4 linked regions of the Caenorhabditis elegans genome follow. The protein of the gene in region 1 purifies or fractionates together with the protein of each later gene. This does not show direct contact. Each region holds a gene or a part of one and is shown in the gene's direction. Other genes may lie near its edges. The genes, in order: gfrp-1, ZK353.9, erfa-1 and npp-3.

What was found.
Region 2: the proteins of gfrp-1 (region 1) and ZK353.9 fractionate together in Caenorhabditis elegans (co-fractionation; one large-scale study listed by BioGRID). This does not show direct contact.
Region 3: the proteins of gfrp-1 (region 1) and erfa-1 fractionate together in Caenorhabditis elegans (co-fractionation; one large-scale study listed by BioGRID). This does not show direct contact.
Region 4: the proteins of gfrp-1 (region 1) and npp-3 fractionate together in Caenorhabditis elegans (co-fractionation; one large-scale study listed by BioGRID). This does not show direct contact.

Annotation. Positions count from the first base shown.
Region 1 is NC_003282.8:200,116-207,041, forward strand, and holds gfrp-1 (GTP cyclohydrolase 1 feedback regulatory protein), read left to right. Parts: upstream 1-3,486; 5' UTR 3,487-3,766; coding exon 3,767-3,901; intron 3,902-4,813; coding exon 4,814-4,966; 3' UTR 4,967-5,147; downstream 5,148-6,926. Other genes in the region: csn-3 (COP9 signalosome complex subunit 3), read left to right, coding at 723-1,178, 2,188-2,326; coa-1 (Cytochrome Oxidase Assembly subunits), read left to right, coding at 5,183-5,185, 6,545-6,700, 6,833-6,916.
Region 2 is NC_003281.10:8,406,443-8,414,239, forward strand, and holds ZK353.9 (PITH domain-containing protein ZK353.9), read left to right. Parts: upstream 1-3,053; coding exon 3,054-3,161; intron 3,162-3,593; coding exon 3,594-3,667; intron 3,668-4,579; coding exon 4,580-4,937; intron 4,938-5,322; coding exon 5,323-5,409; 3' UTR 5,410-5,575; downstream 5,576-7,797. Other genes in the region: cyy-1 (Cyclin-Y), read left to right, coding at 1-8, 56-130, 180-296, 342-484, 539-658, 1,338-1,504, 1,555-1,717, 2,294-2,398.
Region 3 is NC_003283.11:6,430,870-6,438,537, forward strand, and holds erfa-1 (Eukaryotic peptide chain release factor subunit 1), read left to right. Parts: upstream 1-3,260; 5' UTR 3,261-3,290; coding exon 3,291-3,400; intron 3,401-3,446; coding exon 3,447-3,772; intron 3,773-3,818; coding exon 3,819-4,552; intron 4,553-4,600; coding exon 4,601-4,762; coding exon of another isoform or gene 4,763-5,122; intron 5,123-5,265; coding exon of another isoform or gene 5,266-5,358; 3' UTR 5,359-5,529; downstream 5,530-7,668. Other genes in the region: gad-1 (Gastrulation defective protein 1), read right to left, coding at 570-994, 1,042-1,361, 1,406-1,584, 1,633-2,378, 2,426-2,618; hpo-19 (NADH-cytochrome b5 reductase), read left to right, coding at 5,778-5,891, 5,948-6,109, 6,156-6,320, 6,374-6,733, 6,786-6,914. UniProt on the Caenorhabditis elegans protein: Directs the termination of nascent peptide synthesis (translation) in response to the termination codons UAA, UAG and UGA.
Region 4 is NC_003280.10:11,869,935-11,877,628, reverse strand, and holds the start of npp-3 (Nuclear Pore complex Protein), read left to right. Parts: upstream 1-2,840; 5' UTR 2,841-2,935; coding exon 2,936-3,070; intron 3,071-3,117; coding exon 3,118-3,469; intron 3,470-3,529; coding exon 3,530-3,621; intron 3,622-3,670; coding exon 3,671-3,875; intron 3,876-4,029; coding exon 4,030-5,624; intron 5,625-5,676; coding exon 5,677-5,782; intron 5,783-6,217; coding exon 6,218-6,565; intron 6,566-6,628; coding exon 6,629-6,933; intron 6,934-6,979; coding exon 6,980-7,694. Other genes in the region: DNA topoisomerase 2 top-2, read right to left, coding at 1-564, 615-857, 1,203-1,935, 1,989-2,325, 2,373-2,472.

The DNA of each region.
Region 1 (6,926 bases):
AATTTGAATTTCCGCCAATTGAACTCGTTCGTTGGAGCGCACTTGCATTATTTTTATTAATTTGTTTTATGTTTTCTCGTTATTTGACTGATTTTCTTCATTTTCTATGGTTTTTTCTCGGAAAATGGAAGAAATAAACAGGACAAATGCAAAATGTTTGTTAAAAAGTAATTGGAAATGCGTAAAACTGTGAAATATACTAATCTCAGGAGCTTCGTCGTCGGAACTCAGAATATCACAGTTTTACGCATTTTCAATTACTTTTTAACAAACATTTTGCATTTGTCCTGTTTATTTCTTCCATTTTCCGAGGAAAAAACATAGAAAATGAAGAAAATCAGTCAAATAACGAGAATAAATGAAATTAATTAATAAAAATAATGCAAGCGCGCTCCACCGAACAAATCCAATTGGCGGAAATTCAAAAATAATTAGGGGAAAACTGAGATTTTTTCAATTTTCAAAAATCATATAAATTCAGGGAAATTTTTTTGAATTTTTTTATCATGATATTCGGTCATTGTGGTACCATAGTCATGTTTTAAAGCATTTTTCCCACTGAGCGTAGTTCACCTTTAAAAGAATTTTCAGCGTTTTTTTTTTTGCAAAATAGTTTTCTCATTTCTTCGCTTTAAATTACAAAAATGCGTAAATCTCTATTTTTCCAATAAAATTCTGTAAAAAATCACATTTTCCTAGAAAAAATCCCCAATTTTTTGCAGATATGTGCTCATTTCGCTAATTCTGAAAGGAAAAGTGGACGTGACGGAAAACGGTGACAAATCAGCGATTCGTCACTTCAAAACCAAAAGTCCTGAATACAAACAATTCTCAGAGATTCGGTTCTCCCGAAGTTCGAATACCCATTCAGCAGTGGAGAGTCTTGTGAAATCGGCAAAAGATCGTTTGAGAAAAGACGGAAATACAGAAATTGCCAAATATTTGGTCGTTGAAATGAAGAAAAAGACAATTATGTCGCTGACAAGAATGTTCACATCAATTCGGATTTCTGAAATTGAGGAGTTGGCATTTTTGAAGTCACGGGATCAAGTTACAGAGCTTATTGGTCAATTGGTTGAGGAGCAGAGGATTACTGTACGAATTGATGGAGATATGGTCTTTTGGACTGAATTGAGCCCTGTTCCATCTAAAAATGATGTTGAGAATAAGATTAGAATGTGGGTAAAATTGAAAGAAAATTGAATCTTTGGCGAAAATTTGATCCAAATCACCGAGAAATTGTAGTTTTGAAGGATATTTTGAGAGAAAATAATATGAGAAATCTGATAGAATTACTCGAAAAATGACGATTTTTTTTATTTTTAAAAAATCGGCATTTTGCCGATTTGCCGGAAATTTTCATTTCCAACAAATTGCCGGTTTGCCGATTTGCCGAAAATTGAAAACCATGTAAATTTTATTCGAAAATTCATATGGAACCACCAGAAAAATTCCATTTTTTGAAACAATCCTGATAGAAATTCCGGAGAAATAAATTTTTTTCGGCAATTTCAGAAAATTTTTCAATTTCCAATTAATTTAGGAAAATATTACCAAAAATTTGCAAAAAAATCGAAAATTGGAAAATTACATTTATATTTAAAAAAAAACGCGATTTTCTGAACATTTGGTTTTTCAGTAAAATCTTAATAAAACCAATTAAAAAAGAATTTAACAAAAAATTCGGAAAACAATTTCTAAAAATTCACACTTTTATGGGAAAAAAATTATTAAAAAATTTTAATTTTTCCGAAATATGCAGTAAAAATCGGTTGAAATGAAACGCTCATATTATTGCAAAAATTCTGCGAAAAAAAAGTAATTTCTGTTGATTTTCTGACAGATTTCCTTTTTAACCTCTATTTCTTCCAAGAACATTGTAAAATGTAGTAAATCTAATTTTTCTATCTGAAAAAAATTGTGCGATTTCTAAAAAAAAAGCTGGAAATTTGACGGAAAACTTTGAAAAAATACAGCAAATTCGATTTTTTAATAAAATTGTCTGCCAAATCTGAAAGAAACGCTCGGAAAAATCCAAAATTGCCTAGTTTCATTTTTATGAAAATACTTCTTTTTTAAATCGCGTTTTTTTTTTCAACTAAAAAGTTTAATTTTCCCAAAGGAAAAAATCTGAAAATTCTGATTTTTTTTTCAAAAAAATTCCCCAAAAACCGTATAATTTTCCAGCGTCGATCACCTGAACACTCTTCTTCACGAGAAAAACACTACTATGAAAGCCGGTTCAGGACGTATGAGACCATCAGTTATGTACAATGAGGATGAAGGATTGAGCATGCCACCAACTGAATCTAAATTTTTCTCCTAAATTTCACACATTTTCTCATTCATTTATTTCCGGGTTTTTGTCCCTTTTTTTTTCGACGTTTTCGACATCAAAATATTCATTTTTCTCATTATTCCCGAAAACATCATTTGTTCTGATCACTGCAAAATGAACATATTTTATATTTAATTTGCACGATAATTATCGGATTTTTCAAATGGTTCTGGCCGAAATTTTACTTTTTATTCTGCTTTTTACAGTTAAAATTTTGTGCATTTTTCGGGAATTTAAGGAATTGTTTAAATTTCACAAAAATGTTTAAAGTCAAAGTTTTAACCATTTTGTGGGCGTGTCCTGGGCAAAATTTATTTTATATTTCAAATATTATTTTTAAAATACGGTGCCAGGTGTCAGAAAAGCTTTTGAAGGCTTTTCTTTTTTTTTCAAATATCACCCAGAAATTCATGATTCAGTATACCGACATTAATTTGTGCATACAGTGTATTTTTTGTACACTTTTACGACTTTAAAGGAGGGTGGATTTATTCGAAATGGTCTCGTCACGTGCCATTCTTTAATTTTTGAAGCGCGTGGTGGGACCATTTCGAATAAATGCGCCCTCCTTTAAAGTCGTAGAAGTGTACAAAAAATACACTGTGTAATGGGGTTAGTCAAGTAATGTGTCAACATGTATTTAGATACATTTATGACGTCACAGATGTATTAAAATACATGTTTTAATGTACAGCTGTGACGTCATTTTTCTACACTTAAAAAAACAATTTTCGACATTACTTGAATAACCCAATATGATTAGAAAAAAATCTAGTGTTCAAAAAAACTAGCGATATCTTTTTTTTTATATTACGGAAGCACAAAATTCTGAGAACGCGTATTGAACAACATATTTGACGCGGAAAATATCCCGTAGCGAAAACTACAGTAACTCTTTGAATGACTGCTGTAGCGCTTGTGTAGATTTACGGGCTCGATTTTCAAAATGAATTAAAACAATTTATTTATCGATGGAATATTTATTAAGATTAAGCAAAAAACGAGAAAATAATACAGATTCATCTTAAGAATCAAATGAAATAAATTTATCCCGTAAATCGACACAAGCGCTACAGTAGTCATTTGAAGAATTACTGTAGTTTTTGCTATACGCATTCTCAGAATTTTGTGTTTCCGTAATAACAGTATTCCTAGGTATCCAAGAATTTCGAACAACAGGTCCTATTACCATAATTGTACCACATCCTGTATTTTATTATTTCAATTTCATTTTCTCAATTTCATCTTATCATCCATATCTCTCCGTCTTTCTTCTCAATTTTTATCGTTATTTGTCAACCTTCTGACCCCTCCACCCGACGACGTCTCTTCTGACAAATCGAGACAAAAACCTGCTTCTTCTACTTCGTTCTCTCTTGTCTACTTGTCTATCGATTGAACCTTATTCCGCAACAAAAAAATCAAGAAATGCCGTATATTCTAATTTCTACACAAATCCGAATGGAGTGTGGTCCAACTATGGTCGGCGACGGAGAAAGTGACCCGAAACTGATGGGAACACTGGAGGCGAAGCTCACCAAGCAGTTGGGAAATGAGTTTCAGGTGTGTTCTGAGGAAATTGTGGAATTTTTAGCTGAAAATTCGGTTTTTCCATCCAAAATTCCACTGAAAATGTGAATTTTCTAGCTGAAAATTCCACTGTGAATTCGGTTTTTCTAGCCAAAATTTCACCAGAAATTCGCCTTTTCTAGCCGAAGTTCCACTGGAAATGTGCATTTTCTGGCTGAAATTCCTATGAAGATCGAGATTTCCTAGCTGGAAAATCCACTGAAAAATCGCCTTTCCTAGCCGAAATTCCTCTGAAAATGTGGATTTTCTGGCTGAAATTCCTATAAATATTGATAATTTCTAGCTGAAAGTTCACTGGAAATTCGCCTTTTCTAGCTGAAAATTCCACTGAACTTGTAGATTATCTAGCTGAACTTTCCACAAAAAAATCAGCTTTTGTAGCTGAAATTTCACTGGAAATTCACCTTTTCTAGTCGAAATTCCACTGAAAATGTAATTTTTCAATCTGGAAATTCGACATTCTCTGTTGCATATAACACTGCAAATTTAGTTTTTCTACCTGAGAAACTCTGAGAAAGGTCTCACGAAAATTTGCGATTTTATTTTTAAAAAAATATCCGCTCAAAAATCAGGAATTTCGATTCTGAAATCGGAAAGTGCTGGATTCTTCTGAAATCTTGATTTCTGAAAATTCTCTGCGAGTTTCCATGAAAATTCGGAATTTTTAAGAGAAATTTACTTACTAAGTTACATTAAATAGTGTGTTTTACCTAAAATTTCCTGATTGTGAGCAAGGGTGTCAATGTCCCGTAAAAATTTAAAAAAACGGGACAACGGGACGTCCCGTTCCCGTGATAATTTTAAAAACGGGACAAACGGGACACGGGACTTGACACCCTTGATTGTGAGCGATTTTTTCTGCAAAGCCTCCACGAAAAATTGTAGGAATACATAACAAAATGGTCGCCACGAAAAGTGCTCAACCAATTGGAAAAAGAGGGATGGACAGTGGTCGCTATGGCTGGAATCGGACAAACTTGTGCTTGGACTTTATATAAATGTGACGACGAAAAAGAAGAAAATGGAATGAATTTTTGATTCGTCGCTGTTTTTTTGGCTCCCGTTTTATAAATTTTTCTCCTGATAAACTATGATTTTCCTCATTCTCCCCTACTATTTAAAGGAATTTTTAAAGGGATTTTTGACACCTGGCACCCCAAATTAACGCATATCAGAATTAATTTCGATTTTTTACAGAATTTTAAATCTACTATATTATTCTGCAGATGGGAGCAAGCTAGCTGTTTTTAAGAAATGGTGAGGCTTTACAGCTTTTTTTTACAAAAAAATCTTTAAAAAAAATAAGAAAAAAAGAGCCTAATGGGGCTATTCAAATAGTATTGGAAAATTGAAAGTGTAGAAAAATGATTGTTTAAAAATAACATTCTTCTTTATTGAAACTTTTAAACAAAGTCTCAAAAACTGCAAAATGACGTCACAGATGTATTAAAATACATCTTCACACATGTTTTTTAATACAGTTGTGTCGTCATAAATGTATCTATACCATAACCCATATACCATGTTGTTGTTGTTGTTGTGCAAATTCAAAAATCCGTAGTCCAGGTTTTTCATTTAGGGGAGGTTCCGTTTCCTCCGGGGTCAAAGGGGTCGTGGAGAGGCCCTTCATATTCCATATTAGAGGTGGGCGGCGAAATGTACAGAAATATAGAAAAATATCTTATTTGTTTAAAAATAACATTCTTCTTTATTGAAACTTTTAAACATAGTCTCAAAAACTGCCTGAAAATTTCCATTTGCCGAAAGAATTCGCAGAACTTTTTTCGGCGAATTTTTCTGACAAATGCTAACTTTCACCCATTTCCGCACTCTTTCTCTAGTTTTTCAATTTTTTTTAGAAATGCATGTTCTTTTCAAACGAATAAGATATTTTTCTATATTTCTACATTTATTTTTATTTTTTAAAGTTGAGTTATCATATCGAATGGGCCGTTTTGTAGATTCGCCTCCCATCCCTATACCATATACTATGACCTATAACCAAAATGGTGTTTTTTCGGTTTTTTTCTTTAAAAAATTCAAATTCATATTAAATGGGTATTAACAAACAAATACAGGCTAAAAACATTTATTATTCAAATTTTTTAAAAATAAAAAATTGCCGGAAATTATAGATTTGCTATGTTTCTGGAAAAAATGACTAACATATTAAGATTTTTTTCAATTGTCGGAAAATCGAATACACTTTAAAAGGCTTTATTAAGAATGAGAAATTCTTCAAATTAAATAAAAAATTATTTAGAAAAGTGAAAAATTTTCCGGTTTTTTTTTAATTGTTTCAAATATTAACGGTACAGAGAGTGTAGATAGTTAGAGAGTGACAGACATCCGGGACCCAATGAAGCGGGGCGCGCGGAAGAGACGATTTGTGTCGATTTACGAAATTTTCCTCGTTGTCATCATTTCGTAAATCGACACAGATCGTCTCTTCCGCGCGCCCCGCCCCATTGGGTCCCGGATGTCTGTCACTCTCTAACTATCTACACTCTCTGTACCGGTAATACTATATTTTTCGATGTTCTCTTAAGAAACGGGGTTTTCTTTTAAATTTCATAAGTTTTTCACTGATTTTCAGAAAAAAAAATTATATTGCAGGTTCAATCATCAACTCTAGTAAAAGTGGCGGCCGGTGTATTCGTAATGGGCTCAACGGGACTCTATTTGGCTCAAAAATCAGTTCAATGGAAGGTTAGAGCATTGCCACACTACAACGAAAGCCTCAAAATTGTTATGGAACATCCGAAAGCATTGGTGAGCACTCCCCCTCATCTTCGGGCTCCGCGAGAGAGCTCTAATTAGGATTTCTGTCGTCGCTTTCTTATTCTTTTCCTACTGCCGTCTCCCCGCACAAATATCGATTTTTCCTCAATTTTACCTTTTTAGGAAGCAATTGGAGCACCGATCTCAATTGGAAGTGTCGAATTATCGGATAGACTTCATAATTATGTGGATAAAACTACTAGTAGGGTTGGTTTTT
Region 2 (7,797 bases), on another chromosome or scaffold:
AACAGAAGGTAATTATATCACTGAAGTATATATTTTTAAATTCATATTTTTTAAGGATACGAGGAAGATCCATCAACGAATCCAACAGCTCGGCCAACATTTATGGAACGAAGTAAAAGTGAAATGAAATGTAAAATTCTTTTTCTTCTAATCCTTGAATCTATTCTTATCAATTCCAGTAAAAGACAATCGTCGTTCATGTTATATGTTGGATGCATTGGCAGCTGGTGGTCATCATCCCGGAATTTTACCCAGAAGCCTGCGTAAATCAAGCAGCTGCAGTACTATTTATATTGGTAATTAAAGATTTCATAAACATTCTCTGATTTCTCAAATTTTAGATGATTCAACAGTCAGTCAACCTCATCTTAAGAATACAATAAAATGCATTTCTCTTGCAATATATTATCATATTTCAAATCGTAAAAATCGTGGACACGAGCGACTAATGGAGATTTTCGAAGAACGACTTCATCCGATTTTCGTAAGTTTTATCAATCAATCCATAAGTTCCATACATTTTTCGAAGATTTTTCAGAGAGATCCTATACCTCCAGAGCAAATGACACGGGATCCTGATCATCGGAATATTTATCGGTTTGTCAGAAATCTGTTTAGTTCTGCGCAGTTGACCGCCGAATGTGCTATTATTACTTTGGTGAGTTTTTTTTTCGGTTAAAATCTTTTTAAATGAATATCATGAGATTTGGCAAAAATGTATTTGTGTAGAAGATTCGCCTTGTTCTATTGAAAAAATATTAAAAAGACACAACGTTTTGCAATTTTTGTGCCAAAAAAGGTTCAAAAATTTTCGTTATTCGATTTTAATGAAAAATTAAAATTTTCGTTTTTCCGACATTAAAAAATCTAATTTTCGAAAAAAAATAACTTATAAATTTTTGGCCATTATTCTTCTTTTTTAAAGATTTTTTCTGAAAAAAAACAAAGTTTTTCTATGAAAAAAAATGGTAATTTCAAATTCTTTCGACTACGGAATTTTCATTGATTTTTCGTATTTTTCCGATGAAAAATATTGATTTGTTAAAAACTACATAAATTTTAACAGATCATGAGAAAATTAGAAAAAAAATTATGAAAATGTCGGGGATCCAAAGTTTGAAATTACAGTAATCTTTAAAGACGCACACCTTTCCGCATTTATCGTGTCGAGACCATGTACTGTATTTGTAGCGCAAAAAATTCACGCACTGGTAATATTTTAACTTTTCGCTATCGTAGTTGAATTACCCAATTTTGATTTTCTGCTGCCGACGCATTTCTCTTTTCTTTAATAAATTTATCAATTTTGTATAAAAACGCGAAAACCATTTTTTCAGGTGTACATCGAACGATTGCTTAATTACGCAGAAATGGATTTGTGTCCTTCAAATTGGCGTCGGGTTGTACTCGGTTCAATCATGTTGGCATCAAAAGTATGGGATGATCAAGCTGTTTGGAATGTTGATTATTGCCAAATTCTTCGAGATACAAATGTTGACGATATGTAAGTATTTTTTTTATTTGGTCAGAAACCCCGTAATTAAATTATTTCAGGAACGAATTAGAACGGCGGTTTTTGGAATGTCTCGACTTTAATATTGAAGTTCCGTCGTCGGTGTATGCCAAGTATTATTTCGATCTTCGAACATTGGCACTTGCAAATGATTTACAATTACCAATTCAACCGTTGTATAAGGAGAGAGCGCAAAGATTAGAGGTAACCTTTTTGACAATTGATTTTCGGGGAAAAAGTTAAAAATTACCAAAAAAAATTATTTTTTTGTTGCATAAACAAAAAGAAATGTCAATTTTTAGATCAAAGGGGTCTCTGATGTTTTTCTGTTTTTTTTGCAATTTTTTTTCAAAATTTAATATTTTAGTCTATTGGAATAATTGAAAAATTTTCATAGAAAAATCGAAAAAAATATTTTCTGAAAATTAACAGAAAAAATGAATTTTTCATCGAATTATGTCTATGTTGATGAGAAGAAAACATAAATTATTTTCAAAAAAGAGCGATAATGGTCAAAATTAAAAAAAAAAATTTGAAAATATAAATCGAAAAAATACGAAAATTTGCGTTTTTTTTTTCTGTGTAAAATCGAAAAACATATAAAAAAAAAGAAAATAAGAACAAAGAAAAATTGTCAAATAGTAATATCCTTTGTATGCAATAAGATTGAAACATGATTTTTAATGTGCTGTTTATTCTCGAAAAAATAATTCTGAAAGTTTCAACATTTGAAAAAAACTTTTTAAATTCTTCCCAATTTCTTATTCAACAATTTTACAGGCTTTGAGCCGTGTCTTCGAGGATAAGATTCAATCATCATCGCTTCCAAAGCGTGCCCGGTCAGCTGAACATCTTGTCTTTGAGCATCCGGCTGTTCTCTCGTAGACATTTTTTTTTCTAATTTAAATATTTTGTTCAGTCAATTTATTGTAATATTTATAATTCTGTAGTTTCAATGGATTTGCCTTCTTTTTGATTTCAAGAATGTTAAAAGAGAAGGTATTTCCAAAACCGCTACAGTTTATTCTCGCATGTAACTTATTTCAACCTGCCCCAGTCAACCCCAATGCATAATAATTTGAAAACGCCATAATGTTTCTTTTGTATGTCTTGTCAACTGTTAATGTTTTTGCTTCTTCCTTTGCTATTCTCTTAATTATTTCTCTGCACACTATCGTTTTATCTTGAATACGGCTAAATTCGTTTCCTTTGACAAACCCCATCTTGTTTTCCTTCTCAAATTGCTTGTATTTTCAAAAAAAGAAGTTTGTTGGCTATTTAATTGACTCAATACCTATCTCAGAAAATCTCATTTTCTCTTTCTTTGTTTTCTTTCGATCCCTCCAGTATTACAAAATATCTGCAAATACTTCTGTATCACCATGATCAACCCATGTCCTCTTTTGAATAGATACATTTGAATCGATTACAGTAAAATTGTTTTCTGAAAAACTTTTTCAGAGTGTTTTAATATTTGATGGTTGAAAAATACCGATACTTGGCATTTATTCAAAAGTAGTTTAAATAGTTTTTTGTCCAGATGTGTTCACATGGTCATTCTCACAATTGTGCCGCAGAGCACATTCCAGAAGTTCCAGGTGATGACGTGTATCGCTACGATATGGTCAGCTATATTGACATGGAAAAGGTAAACATAAAAAACAAAAATGATTGAAATCAGCAAAAACACACTTAAAACGTTCGAATTTAAAGTTTTCCCGAAGATACCTAACGAGACCCAATGTTTGGGGGCGGAGCGTATTTATTTAGTGTTGGAGCGCGCTTGCACCTCTATGCCAAAGAGGCTTTTTTCTACGTACCCATAAATAAATAATTGAAAGATGCATTGTAAGATGAAACATATAAATATTCTGAGTATCGAAAAAAACAGGAATAGTTTTTCAAGAACTAATTAAATATTCTTGTTCGAAATTAAAATAAAAATTAAATTTAAAATGCGTTAACTGTAACTTCTCCCTACAATCTCACAAAATTAGGAAAACGCATCGCGAGAAATGCCATCCGCTGTCAACGTTTTTATTATTCAATTCAGCAATTAAATTGATACCAATTCTCTCAGGTAACTACTCTCAACGAGTCAGTCGACGGCGCCGGAAAGAAGGTTTTCAAGGTGATGGAAAAAAGAGATGACAGGTTAGCTAGTACATGAGGATTACATTTTTATATAGGATTATTCCGACGATAAAACATTCCATTTTAAAGAGTATTGTGGTAATGGGGAGTATTTTGAAAATTATTTATGTCTACGAAATAGTGGCTAATCGGAAAAAGTTGACAACTCTTCAGTATTACTCACAGAAATTGGTATAAACTTAAATTCCCAGACGTGAAAATTTGTAATTTTGGCGACAAGAATACGGTACCCGGTCTCAACACGACAATTATTTTCCAAATGAGAAAAGATGTGCGCATTTACAGAGTACGGTAGAGTTTATAGAGTACTGTAGACTAACGCTCATTTCTGTCGAATTTTTATCAACATAGTTTTTATTTCACGTTTTGTTCAAATTTATGTGTTTATATTTGAGTTATTAAATATATAAATGTATTTACCGAAAAAAACTATGACAAATCTATGAAGATCCGCAATATCGAACGTTCGAAACTACAGTACTCTCTAACTCTTTAAAGACGCACACATTTTCGCATTAAAAATTTAGTCGTGTCGAGACCGTGTACCGTATTTTGTTAAAAATCTCAAAATTCGCGTCCGGGTAATATGGGACTCAGCTTTAATCACATCTCGCAGCGATCTTACAGTAATCTACCGTACCCGCCACGCAGCCACATAATTTAGATTATTTAAAACAAATAAGTCATATGGTAATGTTAAAGTTTTAAAATTAAACTAGGTATTCTGAAGGTTCGCTAAATACTTTTTCGTAATGAAGATAAACTTAAGTACTTATTGTATCAAATTGCTGACAGCTGTCTTTCTATCTGTCAATAGAACAACCTGAACAACTAATCTGTCAACTAATGCCCCAATGTCCAGAGAAAGAAAAGTATACACGTACATATACACTCTTAAAAATCAAATTTCAGATTGGAATACGTAGAAAGTGATTGCGATCACGAGTTGCTATTCAATATTCCATTCACCGGACACGTTCGTCTAACGGGTCTCTCGATAATCGGAGACGAAGATGGATCACATCCAGCCAAAATTCGATTGTTCAAAGATCGAGAGGCAATGTCATTTGATGACTGTAGTATTGAGGCAGATCAGGAAATTGATTTGAAACAAGATCCACAAGGACTCGTGGATTATCCGTTGAAAGCTTCAAAGTTTGGAAATATTCATAATCTATCGATTTTGGTAGATGCAAACTTTGGAGAAGATGAGACAAAGATCTACTATATCGGATTACGTGGAGAATTTCAGCACGAGTTCAGACAAAGGGTAAGGAAAAATTTGAATATTAGCCAGACGCGAAATATTTTTTCACCAATGGGTCTCGACACGACGAATTTGTGAAAGGAGAAAAGATGTGCGTCTTAAAAGAGTACTGTAATTTTTAAATCTTGTTAGATACTGCAGAAAGTTTTATTGATTTTTCTGGATTTAAAATTTTTATTATTGAAAAACTTTTTAAAAAAATTTACATTTTTTTAAACGTCGAAGAAATGAAAGTTTTAAATACCGTACTCTTCAAAGGCGCACACCATTTCACATTTTACAAACAATCGTCGTGTCAAGACCAAGTACTGTATTTTTGGTGTAAAAATTGCACATCTGGCTTTTACAGAATTTTAATTTGTCGCCTCGGAAAAAAACCAATTTTCAGATTGCAATTGCCACATACGAATCAAGAGCTCAACTCAAAGATCATAAAAACGAGATTCCAGATGCTGTTGCCAAGGGACTTTTCTAAAATAATTAATTATTGATTACTTGTGAATTCGTTAGTGTTAATCAATCCACGTGGTTTCATATTGACTACCAGTATTTTCGATTGAAATGTTTAAATTGTAACAATACACGACATTTGTCGGAAAGTATGTCCCTCAAATTCTTCTTTGAAGTAAATTATTTCTCTCAATTGTCTTCCGTCTACCGTAATCCATTCCACGGGCATCTGCATCTTCAATCTTCAACGCCCAGCAGTAACCCTTTGACGACAAAATGACAACCCTCTGGGGGGCACATACGCACACATACACTTCTCTCCTCCCATTTCTTTTTTTCTCTCACAATATATTTATGAACGAATGAATGTGAGCGGGAAACTGAAATAGTGTTTATTGGAGAAGAGACGCAGAAGTGCGCTCCTCTACACTTAAAAAGACGGTGGCCGCGAGGGTGAAAAAAATGGAAGAAGCATACATTTTTTGTTGCGAAATGAATTCAATGGAATGAACAAGGATTGGTCAATTGTGAAGAGACGCAGAACAAAGGCAGAATTGTACAAAACAATACATAAAGGATGCATGAATCATAATAGGAATTTGGTATACTGTAATAATGCCACGTCATTATCTCTTTGGTTGAGAAAGTACGCGTTATCGTTGTATAATATCGTATTGGGTTACGGTAGTTTTTAAAAGACATGTTAAGTTTATCGAAATGTAGCGATGTTGGCCCCAAAAATACTGTACTTGGTCTCGACACGCCATCATTTTGATAAAATAATATACGCACCTTTAAAGTGTACTGTAACTTCAAACTCTCATCGTTGCAGAATTTTCATCGATTGTTACTAGTTCTTCGATCAGAAATATTAATTCATTGAAAACCTCAAAAATAAAGAAGCACGCATTTTCGCAAAAAATTATCGTGTCGAGACTGGGTGTGCTAACATCCGAAAATTCTGAATCTAGGCAGTAGGCAGGCAATTAGGCGTTCAGGCCTTAGGCACACACAAATGCATCCCGGAAAAACCTTAAAGACACTTCTCTATCAGCCGTTTGAAATGATCCATATAAATGTTGTATGTGACATTCGTGATAAGATTTTCATCGAGAAACTAATTATCCCTAAATATCCAAGAACTGACTCGAGAACAACCGAAATCCCAAGTGGCTACTGCGATTGAAAAATATTTGTGGAGACTGTTAGCTAAACGAATCGGAATTTTTTCATTTTGTAGAAGGAACTGAAAGTCTGAAAAACTTTATCAACCTCCGGTTGTGTGTGTTCCAAGACCATTCAAGTCAAATAGCCACTCGTGCTTGGACAATCCCTTTTTTTCCGTCATTCTACCGAAATTTACCGTATCCTACAATACACTCGCGGCGAGATATTTTGCCGGCGTTTTTCATATGGATCCTGAACAATGATATCTTTTGAAAACATCAATGAACCACAATTTCACTTGATAAATTGTACAGTTTCAAGCAATTGGTAGACCCATTGAATTTCAAAAGTCTCGATAGCAACAGTTATTCAGAAATAAAAGCTTAATCTTTCCGAATTAGACTTTTCATATAATTTTTAAAAATAACTCCTTTTAATATAGTTTCATAATCTGTTATTCTAATTACACAGTAAGTAAGTAAAAACTACGATTCAAATATTTACAGTTATGGAATATGTTTTTGTACAGAACGTGCCCTTGTAATCAGAACTTTTGTATCATTCAAGGTTACCGTTGGGTTCCATTTGAAGTAAAGTCCCCTTGTGACTCACAAAGTACTACAAAGTTGTGTACACATACAAAAATTGTGTTCAAATGTCAGCAGTTACACATTTGGAAAAGTTGAGTTTTACGAATTGGGAATTAAAAACTATTTTGATGCCTAATTAGCAGATGACGCGAGGAGCTTATTATGTGAGACACATCTCATCAGCTATATTTAGAGGAGTGCCTTTTTTCTTGCTTATCAAATTTCTGTGATAGTCATCTTGTACATACATACTTTCCGACAACTTACACATCTTTGGAATTAGTTAGAAAGTGTTCCAATTTTCTCAAAACACTTCACAATGGCATTAGATTCGGGGAAAACTTTCTTTCAGATAATTTTTTTTTCAGAAAAATGCTCGTAAACAATTTAAGTCGGACTTTACGGGCCCCTTTGGCCTAGTTTGGAAACATTATTTCAAAATGGCATATCTGTCCAAAACATTGCTTGGAGAAAAAATTCAATTAGATAGAGATGGTGGGAAATGTAACCATAGTGCGTATTTGTTTGTATTTATTTGAACAACTGTTTCTTTTAATATTAACAAAAAGTCTAAAAATATCTAGAGCTTATAACGAATATGTGGAGTGCCAAGCACTGATCCTCCCAAATAAATTGTTGTTAAAGCTAAAACCAGA
Region 3 (7,668 bases), on another chromosome or scaffold:
TTGCATGTTTGTTCTACACACTTCAGCAAAAAGTGACCCTTTGAATAGGCTGCACATGGTATCAGTTGTGGGAAAATGTATGATAAGAAAGAAATGGAATGGAGGCCATGTCAATAATTTCTTCTTTAAATATAGTTTTCTCAATTTTTGGAATTAAATCCATAATAGAAACGTTTTTAAAAATACAGTTTCAGGTTTTTGGATTAGGAGATCAAAAGCGAAACATCCGAACCGGGTTCAATTTTAAAAGTGAACCTGATCCCGATTGGATACAATTCTTGCGGCAAAAGTGTAGCCATCGTCCACCGGACACTGACACAAACGACCACATATTGTTGAAATGGGGGGGAGTTGGAAGAATGGGAAAGATAGAAGTGAGCAGCATGCTAGAGTGTAGCTAGCGTTAGATATTTGGACAAGACAATGACTATGGCGAACACACAATTTCTCCAACATCATGTGATCATTGACTCTATATTTATTGGGACACAAAAAATAGAGAAAAAAATAGGAAAACAATATTACAAGAGGGAGACAGACAGATGAAAAACAAAAAATTAATGCAACGACTACTTCGTTCTCGGCATTTTGAAGACAGGCTGTAGCTCTTCGTCATCTTGATCTTCTGGCTCGACTGCAGTTTCTTGGAAAATCTTCTTTGGCTGTGTCTTTCGATACGCTTTATCAATGTACAATGGATTCTCTTCGGCGTCTTTAGCATGTTTCAGGATGCTTGCACGAACATCGGTATCTTTTAGGAACTCGGCATTACGAGCAGTTCCGATTTGCTTTGCCAAATACGAATGAAGACTTCCACCACTTGCAGCCACACGTCCATTTGCGCTCTTTCCGTTGATAGGCATATCTGCAGGCTTCCGGAACTCGGGACGAAGCTTGTTATCCTGCATTCGGAGATACTTCTTGATTCTCCATCCAGTGACTTCCTTTTCTTCTCCTTCCTCTCCGCGCGGTTGGAACATTTCGAGGGAAAGAGCTGAAATATGAAGATAAATATTTTTCGAAAAAAATTGTTTAACTTACGAGAAAGAACCATATCTTCTCGAACAACTTCAGATGCGCGATTTCTTTTGAGTGGCTTCGTCACACATGACATAACTCCTCGCTGTGACATCGTTTGATCGTAGTACACGTGAATGGTGCCATCCGAGAGTCCAGCGATAATTTGATTCAATCGCGGGTGCCACTGAATTCGGTGGCACGAAATTCCAGGGTAATCAATTTTATAGACAAGATCAAATGTCATTGGATCAAAGAATTGTAATGTTCCAGGTGTATCCTTGTTGGGTGACGATGTACCAGTGAAGACAACCTCGGCACGAGGGGAGAATCCGCAATCAGTACTACAAAAAATATACTTATGGTGAAGTTTTTAATAGAAGGATACCTTTTGAAAGCGTTTTCGAGACCGGTTTTCACAAGAAGCGGCTCTTTTGGGTTATCTAAGCTCCACATCTTCAGAGTGTCATCAAAACCTCTAGACAGTAATCTCTTTGAATCGGGCGAAAAAGCAATAGAAGTAATCGAGCCGTTGTGAGCTTTGCGTACAAGGTAATTTACATTGACCTAAAATTAAAATATGAGAATAAACAGTGTTTTTGAACTTCAACTTACATATTGCGATCCATACTTCCATGCTTGAACAGATCCGTCATCACAACCGGCGGCAATCCATTTTCCGTCAGGAGAAAACGTGCAAACTTGCGGGCTGACACGTTTTCCATTAGCTCCTTTTGTTTTGATGACTTTCCTGTGCTTGTTGATGCATTTGGTGATTACTTTATGATCATCGAGGTTCCATAGTCGTAGACTTCCATCATCAGAACAAGAGATAAACTCGTTCTTGTTTAGTGGATTGAATTCGACACAGTTAACTGTTGCTGTGTGTCCTTTAGTGATGTTTAAATCAATAATATACTGATCTCCACGAACTGTTTCAGACCATTGTTTTCCTGCTCGATCCAGTAGGCGAATGATAGCTTCTCCACTAGCTACTACAAGAGTTTCGCCGTTCGGAGAGAATGCCAGGGAATTGATAACGTGACTTTCTGCAGGCAGAAGCTCTTTGTCGTATCTCATTGACATGTCCATTTTTTGAAAATCGAACAGCTTCACGTAATAGTCAAGCCCTCCACTGGCAAACCGAACACCAGGAGGCTCAACCCGAAGTGCACTGATGGCTTGAGTGCCATGGCTGATCTTCGCTTCACATGCAGCTGGAATCAGTTTGATGATGGAGATTGCTTCTGTCTCGTCAAAATCGCTATCATCACTATCTTCGGGACCTTCAGCTCGAGACGAGGAGGGGCCCGCTTCAGACTGTTGCATTTGGAATCCTGGAGGTAGATCTGGCATGAAATCTGGAAAAAACAAATTTGAAATAATTAAAACATTATATTCGGCTTACCATCTTCATCATCAGATACAGCTGAAGAAGAAACACCAGATTCTGATTTAGAAGACACCGATACCGACTGCGGAACGTGAGTTGGTTCCTCAGTTCTGGGAGCATTGCTTATCGTTTGCGCGAACATTGCTTGGAGGTCAAAGACGCGTGCCTTCTTTTCAGAATTCTTTTTTGGAGCCGTATTATCATCCATTGTGGTGATCTGAAAGAATTATTGAAATTCGTTTTCATCTATTAGGCGGTAACGGGAAAAAAAGAGTTAATAACGAAAAGAAACGTGTAATACAACCAATATAATGAACTGCCGTGGTACATATATAATATTTTGGCGAAAAAAACTAATAAATTCTGGAAACAGTCCTGGAGTTCTGATGAAAGCTGAAAAATGTTTTCGAATTTCGAACATTGAGGACGTGGCTGACTTGTTTCGGAGACTAGGCCGCGGAGAAAGTGTGGACAATCGGACATTACTTCGCGCCGAGACCCTTCCACAAACCGTATTCGTGTTCCTTGGCACCATTTAAATTCTTTTCCCATTTTCAGTTTTTAAAGTTTTTACGCGTCATCAATTATCGATTTTTGCAGTTTAAATTGTTCAGAAATGTTTTATTCATCATTTTGTCATTGCTCAGAGAAAACGAAATACATTTTCTTCTAAAAAAATCAAATTGAAACCATTGCAACATGTTGCACAATATTCTAATTTTCCATCACAACTCTGTGCAATGTAGAATAACCAGTTCTCTATAAATATCTTTTTTTTCGCATTTTTGAGTTTCTTCCCCGAATTAATTACTTTAACTCTCTTTTCGTGTTTTATATAATACAATTACAGGTAATCGGTGACGTGCAGCACAAATAGAATATGAGCGCTCCCGCAGCAGGTGCTACCGCCGGAGGCGATGACGCCGCCGATAGAAATGTCGAAATGTGGAAAATTAAACGGCTCATCAAAAGTTTGGAATTAGCCAGAGGGTAACTATTTTCGTGAAGCGTTTATTTTACATTTGTTTTTTTACAGAAATGGAACTTCTATGATTTCGCTGATCATTCCACCAAAAGATCAAGTGGCTAGAATCCAGAGAATGTTGGCCGAAGAGTACGGAACGGCATCTAACATCAAGTCTCGTGTCAACAGACTTTCCGTTTTGGGAGCTATCACATCAGTACAGGGAAGATTGAAACTCTACAACAAAGTCCCACCAAATGGATTGGTCGTTTACTGTGGAACAATCATGACCGACGAAGGAAAGGAAAAGAAAGTTAACATTGATTTTGAGCCATTCAAAGCAATCAATACTTCATTGTATCTCTGCGACAACAAATTTCACACCGAAGCTCTTCAAGGTATTTCTAATTTTCATCATGCATCATAAAATATACCATTTTTCAGGTCTTCTTGCTGACGATAACAAGTTCGGATTTATCATTATGGATGGAAACGGTTGTCTGTTCGGAACACTCCAAGGAAACACTCGTGAAGTTCTGCACAAGTTCACTGTCGATCTTCCAAAGAAGCACGGTAGAGGAGGTCAATCTGCTGTCCGTTTTGCTCGTCTCCGTAATGAGAAGCGGCACAATTACGTCCGTAAAGTAGCTGAAAATTCGGTGGAACAATTTATCAAGAACGACAAGGTTACAGTTGCTGGACTTATTCTTGCTGGTAGTGCAGATTTCAAGACAGAGTTGGGACAATCTGATATGTTTGATCAAAGACTTCAAGCCAAGATGATCAAGACTGTCGATATTGCTTATGGTGGTGAAAATGGTTTCAACCAAGCTATTGAACTTGCTGCCGATACGCTGGCAAGTGTTAAGTTCATTCAGGAAAAGAAACTGATTGGTGGATATTTCGATGAAATCAGCCAAGACACTGGAAAATACGTTTTCGGAGTTAAAGACACTCTTGCCGCACTTGAAATGGGAGCTATTGAAACTCTCATCTGCTGGGAGAATTTGGATATTGTTCGGTACAAGATGAAAAATTCACTCGGAGAGGACATTCTTCTGAATCTGAGACCTGACGAGGAGAAGGACAAATCTCATTTCACCGACAGTGAAACTGGACAAGATATGGAAATTATTGAGACTATGCCACTTTTGGAATGGTTTGCTAATAACTACAAGGTGGGCGCTCGCTTTATCGAAATTTAATTTTTTATTAATGTTTTGTAGAACTTCGGAGCAGCTTTGGAAATCGTCACAGATAAGTCGCAAGAAGGAGCCCAGTTTGTTCGAGGATTCGGAGGTATCGGAGGATTGCTCCGTTATCGCGTTGACTTGGCTCATGTAGACCTTGAAGACGAGCTCGACAACATTGACCTTGATGACTATTGATCACGGGCGGCAGTAGTGAGCCATTGGGCGCCATACTCGTTTCTTTTGTTATTTAAGCTTGTATCCTCTTTTTTCTTTATCAATCTCTTCATAAATTATCCAGCATTGTCAAATTATAATATTTCCCTTTCTCAATCATCATCATCATTAATTGCTATATCCCATACCACACTTTATTCTAAGTTTCTATTCCATTTCATCGAGTTTGCGCCCCGTGTCCCTCACTACTGTCGTTTCGTTTGGTCTGTTGATGCTTTTAGCTCAGCTGGCAAGGCATCTCACGTCTGCCAGCATACTGAAAAAGAAACGTTCCACGCCCGGAACGAAGATGCTATTGGCGGCTTGTTCAACCGGACAAAGGTGAGCTGATTTATCATGATTCTTTTAAAAATATCTAATATTGATCGTGATATTTTTTGTTGTTGTTGTTAAATTAACTAGGTTTTCACGCTACAACTAAAGTTGTAGTCGTAAACTTTATTTGAAACAAGTTTTTTTTTCAGGTAGAGGCACGGGCGACACACTCACACTCGATGACTTCAACCCTTTCGCTTCCTTCGGTGGATGTTTCTACTCGCAATTCCAATGACTTTTAATTGTCAAATTTATGGGTTTTTCTAGGTTTTCTAAAGTTTGTTTTGGAAATACCTAGAATTAAACCATTATTTTATTTTTCTTAATTCAAATTAGTATGTGGTTGAATCAATTTTGTATTATCGGTGACTGTAACTGATAAATATGTTGGTTAAAAATAAAGCATTTATAAAATAACAATTATTTGTAAAAGTTGTAACGGTTCAATTTTCCTTATACATCAGAATTGTGACTTTGTGGTAAAGTACAGTTTTCCGAATAGAATGGCGAGAGATTTTCTTATCAGGTATTGATTGATAACGCAAGAAAAACGTGAAAATGAGAAAGAACTACTGGGAGAGTGGGCGCATCGAAACGGTCGCCTTTTTTTTAAATTGAAATTATTCAACTGCAATTTGTTAATAAATTCATCTATTCAGAAATGGTGGAGAATAACACTCTCATAATCACAGGAGGAGTGGTCGTAGTTTCGAGTATTGCTATCTACATTTATTTGAAAGCAACAAATACATGCCCCTTCTCACTTTGTAAAAAGGTAAATTTGATTTTTTTTTGTTTTTCGCGGTTATTTTAATAATTTTTTTTGTTCAGAGCAAGAAACGAACTCTTGTCGATGATTCTGTCAAGTATCCACTTCCGTTGATTGAAAAGTTCGAGATCAGTCATGACACGAGAAAATTCCGATTCGGATTACCATCGAAGGATCATATTCTTGGGCTTCCAATCGGCCAACACGTTTACCTCACCGCAAATGTGAACTTTCCAGATCCTTCATTCATCATAAATATTAACATTTCAGATTGATGGAAAGATTATCGTTCGCCCATATACTCCAGTATCCAGCGATGAAGATCTAGGATTCGTTGATTTGATGGTGAAGGTTTACTTCAAGAACACAAATGAGAAATTCCCAGAAGGTGGAAAAATGAGTCAACATTTGGAGAGCCTCAAGATTGGAGACACGGTAATATATTTTCACATTACCTTCGAGTTTTTTTGTTGAATTCGAATTTTTAGATCAATTTCCGCGGGCCACAAGGAAATATTGTTTACAAAGGTCACGGATTGTTCAGCATCAAAGCCGATAAGAAGGCCGAGCCGAAGAATCGAGTTTTCAAGCATCTTTCCATGATTGCTGGAGGAACCGGAATCACACCAATGCTTCAAGTCATTGCTGCCATTCTTCGTGATCCAACTGACACCACTCAGATCAGACTTTTGTTTGCAAATCAGACTGAGGACGATATTCTGTGCAGACAGGAACTTGACGATCTTGCAAAGGAGCATCCAACTCGTTTCCGTGTATGGTATACAGTCGATAGACCACCAGTGATGTGGAGCTATTCCTCTGGATTCATCAATGACAGCATGATCAAGGTGAGAAAAAAAGCTGAAACATGTTTTCTGAAATTGTATAATTTATTTTCAGGAAAACCTCTTCCCACCTGGCGATGATTCTGCTGTTCTCTTGTGCGGACCACCACCAATGATCAACTTTGCTTGCATTCCGAACCTTGAGAAGCTCGAATACGACCCAGCAAATCGTCTTCTCTTCTAGATCAATCAGGATCCCCAACTACTTTCTGTGTTATTAATTAGTTTCATCGCCATTCTCAATGTTCATGTATTTGACTACAATAGTAAACCTTTTTCTAACATATTCCAATTTTGAAAAGAAGACGATGCATTTCAAAAGCTAAGAATCAAACTACCAGTTCGTTAGGAGCCAGATTTTGTCAGCACTATGAGAGAGCGGTCATCTTAAGAGAGATGTGAGTGGGACAAATTAAAAAGCGACTACAAAAATCACTTTTGAAACTAGTTTACACACTTTTACTGAGAGACAACCTACACACACACGCACTTGATGACTTCAGTGTCTCCTCATTTTTGTGTCATTTTGTATTTATTTTTAATGTTCGATTTTTTTTCTATATTTCGTTTTGAAATCCTCAAAAACTCCAGTTCTGTTCCTATTTTAGAGAGAAAATGCAAAATATCCAAAAATTTACACATTTAAAAGTATAAAATCCAATATTAAACGCAGGCATTTATTTTATACAATCTGAAATTTATTGAAGTGCAATTAAAACTGGCAGAATTCTCAACAAAAATGCTATTACCTAGACGCGAAATTTTACAATTTGGCGCCAAAACTACGGTACAAGGTCTCAACACGATAATTTTTTGGTTAAGTTCAAATAGGTACGCGTCTTTAAAAAGTACTGTACTTTCAAACTAACTGGATTTTTTTACTCGTTTTGTTTTCAAAAGTTTTTCGTAGTAAAACTATGAATTAATCTAAAAACAAA
Region 4 (7,694 bases), on another chromosome or scaffold:
AGCTTCCTTAGAAGTCGATGTACCCAATCCCTTGTAGTACTTGATCTTGTACGACTTCCAGTTATCCGTATTCATTCTCCACTCAGAATATTCTGGGAGCGAATAGAAGGAAACTTCTTCTTTTCCTTTGGTGGCTTTGACAATTGGAGTGATGAATTCTTCTACGAAGTTCCGCTGAATGAGAGAAGGCCAGAAGTGATGGATGAAATTGATCACGAGTCCTTTGATGTGTGAACCGTCTTGATCCTGATCAGCCATGACCATCAGTTTACCGTATCGAAGAGTCTTGAAGTCATCTTCTGTCTCGTACTTCTTCTTGTATTGGAGTCCCAGAATTTTGATCATGGCATTGACCTCAGCATTATCGGCGATTTGTTTCATATTTCCTTCTCGGACATTTAGCAATTTTCCTCGAAGTGGGAATACTCCATATTTGTCGCGTCCAACGACTGAAAGTCCCGAAACAGCAAGCGTTTTGGCCGAGTCTCCCTCCGTCAGAATTAATGTGCATTGTTGGGAATTTTTGGTTCCAGCGTCGTTGGCATCTTCAAGCTTTGGAATGCCCTGAAATAAATATTAATTAAAACAAGGCCACGAATTAGATGAATTGTTACCTTCAGCTTGGAAGTCTTCGTCTTGGAGCACTTTTTGTTGAGGTCGTCCATTTGTTTGAAGCGAACCCAACTCATAACAGCATCGGTGATTCCAACACTTGAAGCCGCTTTGGAGAACTTCTCGCTGAGGACGCAGGTCGATCCGAACTGCTTCTGCTGCAGGGTCATAGTCTCTTTCGTCTGGGAGTCGAATGTCGGATTTTCGATCAAGCAATTCACAAAAACCCACATGTGATTTTTGATCTGAAAATTTTGATATAAAATTGAATATTTGGAAAATTTATTAGATTTGAATTCGCATTAGCAATTCCTCGCCTCAGATTCGCCTTTTAGTAATCACAAATCATCGGAAAGTTTAAAAATGTTGCGCCGCGCCTTTAGACACTGGATAAAAACTTTCTCCAGCGTCACTAAAGCGTCGCAATTTTATTTTTCACTTGGTGCACCGATACTTCAAAAGAATCGGTGAAATCTCTAGAAAAACCTTGAAAATTTTCAGATTTCTCTTATTATCGAGTCACCAAAGAGTTCATATAGCTATTTTGAGTCATCATTGGCGGTAAATATTTTAAATTCGACGAAATTTACCTGGAATGGCTTGATATTCATCGACGTCTTTGTGAGCTTCCGCTTGATCGAGTCGATGAACTTGGCGACCATCTGATCAGCCACGTAGTCCACGTGCCGTCCTCCTTTTGTGGTAGCAATACTGTTGACAAATGACACTTGTTGGAAGCCTTTTTCCGAAAGAGCCAAGGCGACTTGCCAACGATCTCCAACTTGCTCGTATGCGATCTTGAGGGGTTCTCCTTCATTGTTGAACTGCGAAGTGTACATTTGGACGTAGTCCTCGAATCCTTTGATTGGAATTCGTTTTCCATTGAGGAACACGGCGACTCCTTTACTGGATCCAGCCACATCATACGCACGCCGAGCCATCAAATGGCAGATGTCATCGTCCAGCTCCTTCATCTTGAACTTTGCCAGATCCGGCGAGAATGTGATCTTCGTGAAGTCTTCGTCGGTGCTCTTAACAATCTTCGGCTCCTCATCACGCGTCATGTTTTTGATCCACGTTTGCTTGAATGCACTTTTGTAATCCCGTGAAGACGTCTCCAGAGTGAATTTTGTGGAGAAGATGTTGCAAAGCTTTGCTCCATATCCGTTGCGTCCTCCCGTCACTTTCTTCTCATCGTCATTGTAGTTAGAAGATGTTAGAAGAGTTCCAAAAATCAGCTCTGGGACGTAGACTTTCTCCACTTTGTGCTGAGTGACTGGGATTCCTTTGCCATTGTTGTAGACAGAGATCTCATTTTTCTCCCTGAAAGAAAGCAAAATTAAATTAAATTCCTTTATGCTACGGTCTAAACTTACTTATTGATGGTGATCTTGATTGTGTTCATCTTCGGATCTCTCTGTTTGTTGTCAGCGGCATTCACAAGAATTTCATCATAAATCTTGTAGAGTCCCGGCACGTATGAGATGTCACGCTGCTCCAGCTTGCTCTCCTCCATGTTGTAGACCCACATCGGCGTCTTCTCGGTATGCTCGACCGAACCGATGTAGGTGTCCGGGCGAAGAAGAATGTGCTCGAGTTGGGACTTCTTTTGGTAGATATCCTCGATCGCCATTTGTTTCGAGCCACCACCTTTTTTGTCGATCGACGTGAACACATTGCGGTCCTCTTCAGTCATAACCATCGACTCGTTGGCTGAAAAGAAGCAAATTAGATTCAAGAAACTCTACAAATTAACCAACCATCATCTTTCTTTTTCTTCGGTGACGCCTTCTCCTTCTTTGGTGCGGTTTTCTTCTTGGGTGAATCTTCGATAGAGAATTCACTATCAGAGTCGCTCATTGTTAGAGATCTGGAAAAAGATGACATTTAATTTTAGGACGATCGGGAGAAAGAGAGAAAGAAACGCGGTGAATATTCAATAAACTTGAGGATGCGAAGAAAAATGAGTGAAGAGAAAAAGAACTAGCACACCAGTGGACATCACTGGACACTGAACACTGAATCGATGCAAGACAGCCGGCTAGAGAGCGCACAAAAAAACAACTGAGCGCGCCAAAATGAGCGTCCGATTCGAAATTGGCGGCCTAAGAGCGTCGGGTCTCGCAGCGAACGCGCGAAAAATACACAGCTGAAACGAGTGTTACCGTAGTTGTAGCCTCGAAATACGAAATTTAGTTTTTGTGTCTGCGTCTCTTACGGAAATGCATTGCGAGATAGAAGTTGTGTAATTTTTTTGCGAAAAAATTCAAAAAAAGTAACTTTTTGTTCTAAATAATGTTTTATTTATTTTAGAGAGCTCAAAATGTGGATTGAGATTCGTAAATTTTACGAACTCATCGTCTCCTTCACAGCTTTCGATGACGACCGAAAAATAAACGAGCTGTTCAACGAAATCGAGAAATACAGATGGCGATTGAGCAATATTCTTTTGAATCCGGTATGTTTTCCGACTGATGTTAGTGTAATAAACCTTTCTAATTGAAGAGACGAACGGGTAAAGATCGGGAAAAGCTGAAGCCAGGAAATGTGGAAATGGCAGGAGTGGAAGTTGCGCTAGACGAGGAAATCTGTTCGGAAGCACTCATTTTGTCGGATATCTTTCAATTAAATGAGCTGGAAGCTGTGGATTTGATTTTGGCCGGAGAAGCTCAAAAAATACATTTCGAAGGCCTCAACAGAGGATTAATCGCTGTCGTTTGCTACTATGATGCGCACAGGCTCCTAATCGCAACAATGCGCCAAATGCTAAAATGGGACCGAGAGGATATTCCTCAACGTATCAGCAAGTTCCTCAATAGCACATTCATCAACGAGGACGTGATCAAAAACCTTTTTCGTGGGTTTTCAAAAAATTATATTATCATAAATATTACTAATTTTTTTTTCCAATTTTCAGAACAACTAATCAATTTCACCGTTCAATCAGAATTTGCACGACTTCAATCTCCAGATGTCAACGGTTTAGGAGGCTCTAAACATCAGAAATTGGTACCGAATTGATTATAATTTTGGAATTCTTTCATAAAATTAATTTCAGGTCAGAAATGCCATTGAGGAGATTCGAAGTGAAGTAATTGGTTGCATTTCGATGATCTGTGAGATTCCGGGAGGAAACGCAGTTTCGATTTCAAATCATTTATTCCAAATTGTAAAGGCAGTTCCACCGGAGAAGCTCAGTTGTAGTAGCTTGACAGCCTGGATTTCTCTCGTTAAAATCACATCGAGTGAAGTGTTGTCTCAAGGTAATATTTGAAGATGGAGTAGCGATTTTTCTGTTTTTCTTTTGTGGTTTTTCTGTATTCGAGAATATTTTCGATTTTCTAAAGCAATTCTCGCTACTCCATCTTCATGCCTATACCCAAAAATCCAGTTACAAATCTGTTTGAGAGTTTACAGTTCACGATGCTCAACAAGTGCTCACAAACATGATCGCCCACATTCGGAATGAAACAGACTGGTCGGATCAAGCAATGTGCGGAACTCTACAGCTAGCATGCGCTGTTGCTCTGAAATCGATTGCCTCATCGCCATCAGATCATCTAGGGATCGAGAATATCAAGGTGGACGTGGAAAGAGTCATCGATCGATCTATCCGGAATATGGCTTTTCATTACTTGCGACAAGCGATCATCAAGTCGGAACACTTCCGTTATGCCCATCAGTTTATGATTATTGATGAGCTTCTGAAACAGCTGATTTCATATTTCCCCGCGAAGCTTATGGAGACTGAAAGAAATTCTACAGACGAGCTGAACTTCCTGGATGATCAGAAAAAGGAACAATCAACGACTCAAAAACCGGATCCGAAAAGCCAAACAGTCCACATAACGGACAAAGTTACAGCTCAACTGAGCTCTACAGATCCATCGAACAACTATGATTCGGCTCTATCACAATATGAGAACTTCCTTCGATGCTTTGTGGATTTATACGAGATGCAAGTGACCGACTATGCACATCAGAAGAATGCGAGAACAGCACGCGAACGAGAGCTTCAGGAGCAAATCGAAGAGAACAGCATGGCTTTTAGTACGGAGAGATCGATTGAGCTCTGCCGGCTCCTGGAACGTGCTCGTCTTCCAAACCATCATGTTGTTCATTCAGTTGCTTATCTGGAAATGTGCGCTGCTGTATGCAAAAATGAGAACACAGCTGCTCTACTTTATGACATCTTCTCCAAAGAACATTGTGGACCAGATTCATATGGATGGGAATCTCTGGCTTCAGCACTCAAAGGCTACGATCGTTTGTACCGGGAGCAGAAGTATGCGTCGAATTCTCGTCACAATCAAAGTCAGACAATGAGTATGAGCACCAGCTTCCACCAACAACAAAGCCTCAATCTCACACTTCGTCCAGGCGACAAAATCACCATCCCAGCTCAAGAGCTCAGCGGACTAGTAGCCTGGATCCATATGGCTACAAAAGTTGCTCAATTGAATGAACGAGCCGCTATGCGATTCTCGGATGATCCTTCATGGACGTTGTGTTCTGTTGTCGCATCGCTCTCCACTTCTCCAGTACCGCTATCTATGAAAGCATCGATGCTTGATTTGCTGACGGCAGTGGCACGGCTCAAAGGATCCGCACCGAGAATTTGGCAAGCAATTCATCTGAATCAATTGTGCTATTCTTCGGATGGTGGAACACTAATGGGAATCCAGCAGGAGCTCGAGGAACGAGAATGTGTCGCGAAGCAATATGATGTGTCGTTAGCTTTTGTGAAATTGATGACGACCCTTCTGATGCACAGATCTCTACCGGAATACGCTACACCATTCATCCAATTCGTCACCAGAAGTATTTTGGCACATTTCTCCACACGCAGCTATAATAGCGTTGTTCAAATGTGGGAGCTCGCCGAGTGGTCGCTCCGAGCCACCAACGCACTTCTCGAGCACGGAATCGTCGAGCCGAGAGCCGTGGCATCGAACGAAGTTCATATTGCCATTTTGACGCAGTGCCTCAATGATACGCCGATGTACAGAGCTGTAAGTCACAGAATTTATTGAATTTTATTTAAAAAAAAAAATCGAATTTCAGATCACGCGGGTTATTATGGAGGATTGTCAAGCTCACAATGATCCGTACGTCACACGGCAGTCTCCATCATCCGATGCAGCTTTGATTGCACTGCGAATTTTATCACGTGAGTTTCAGGCCTCAAATATATCGAATTTCATGATGGAACTTTAAAAAAATGGCTCGAAATTTTTTTATTGCGATTCAAAATGTTGAAAAATGGCGTAATTTCAGCTAAAATCCACAATTTTGATACTTATTTTTATTCAATGAGTGTTCTATTTTGCTTATTTTTGCCGTTTATCTTACACTTTCTCGTTGATTTGAAGCTTTAAATCAACTAAAAGCGTGAGTAAAACGCATCAAGTGCGTAAAAATAAGACAATAATCGAGTAAATGTCTGTTTTCGATTCCTGCAGCACGGAAAATAAGTCAAAACTGAAGATTTTAGCTAGAATTATCGAATGTTTCCCTAAATTTTGGCATTTTTAGCCTGTACACCGTCTTCAAATGCTGTAACATTACATGTAATAATATTCAGGCCTAATTATTTTTTTTCCAGGAGCAATAATTCTGCATCCGGCTCTTCGTGCGTGTGCCCGTGTCTCATCCAGTGATATTATGATCGCTTCCATTCCATCCCTCGTCTTCTCACCAATCATCTCAGCCTCCGCTTGCACACCTCTTGATCTCGTCTTCCATTACCTTCATATGACTGATGACTACCCGGTACACTCTCTCTACGCTGCCAGAATTCTTCGAGACGTGATGGCTACACGTGGAGCTGCCGAGGTGAAGATGCTCGAGTTGTTAAGATCCAGAAACTCGGCTGCATCTCATGTTCGGGCGGTTCGAGCGGCGATCTGCGCTACGTCGATTCAGTATACGATTGATGATTCATTGGCGAAAGGTTTGAAATTTTAAATAATATATATAAATAATCTTGAATTTTAAATTATTATCTATATTTCAGAAGAAGACACAGATAATCCACATTTCGCGAGAGGAGAAACCGCTCGAATTCTCATCGAAACTCTTTCGGACGCCATCGATTGCCAAGTAACAAGAACCGGAAATCGTCTGACTGATACCAACAATATTTGCTACTACCTTCTCGCATTCCGACCATCAAAAGCCCATACCAAGGAGCTGTATCAAGCGGACGACGTGCTCACCGGTCTTCACTATGTTCTGTATATTATCGAGCAATTTGTGATGTCGAAGAAACCATTCGATTTACCTTTCTCAGCGCTACTAGAGCCTGCATTCCGGCTGATGGTCTGTTTCTAAATGTATTCAATAAAAAATTATAAAATTATTTCAGCAAAGACTTGTCTCGATCACGTGCCCATTCTCTAAACCAGTGCTCTGCTTCATGCGATCTTCAAATATTATCGAGAAATTGACAACATCTCCATTCATCTGTTCGGCTCTCACTCTGGAAAGTGCCCGCGACAATACATATGCTCAAGGTGTATTCGCTGTTCGTCGTATGATTGTTGGTTACATTCTTCACTTCGCCGCCGTCGAAATTTCGGCAATGCTCACTACTGGCCACTTTTCTCGACCTGAGAAGCTTTATCGTGCACTCTTGGAATCATCATCTCTTGTTGCTGAATATACTCAAATGGAAGAAGACGACGATGATGAAGATATGGCTCCAGTAGCTTCCGGAAGCAATGACAAGGCGAATTTGCTATTCTCGTTGATCCGACGAGCCACAGTGCCACGAAAGAACGAGTTACTTTACCCGAATCTCGTGCATTTCGATGTGGCAAAACTTCACGAACTCTTTGACGCATGCCTTACAGTGAACATCTACGGCGTTGCACAATATGACGTTCTCTACTTGAACCGACTATTACGACGAGAGATTGAGACAGTCTATACGGAATCAGGCGAGATGAAATATGTACAAAAAGAGATGGAAGGAGTCCTTGAATATTGTGCTGAAATTAACGCAAGTCTCTTATCGGAAAGCGCCAGTGAGCGAATTGTGTCTGGATGTACTGCGCTACTCAACGTCTTCTCCGTTTTCG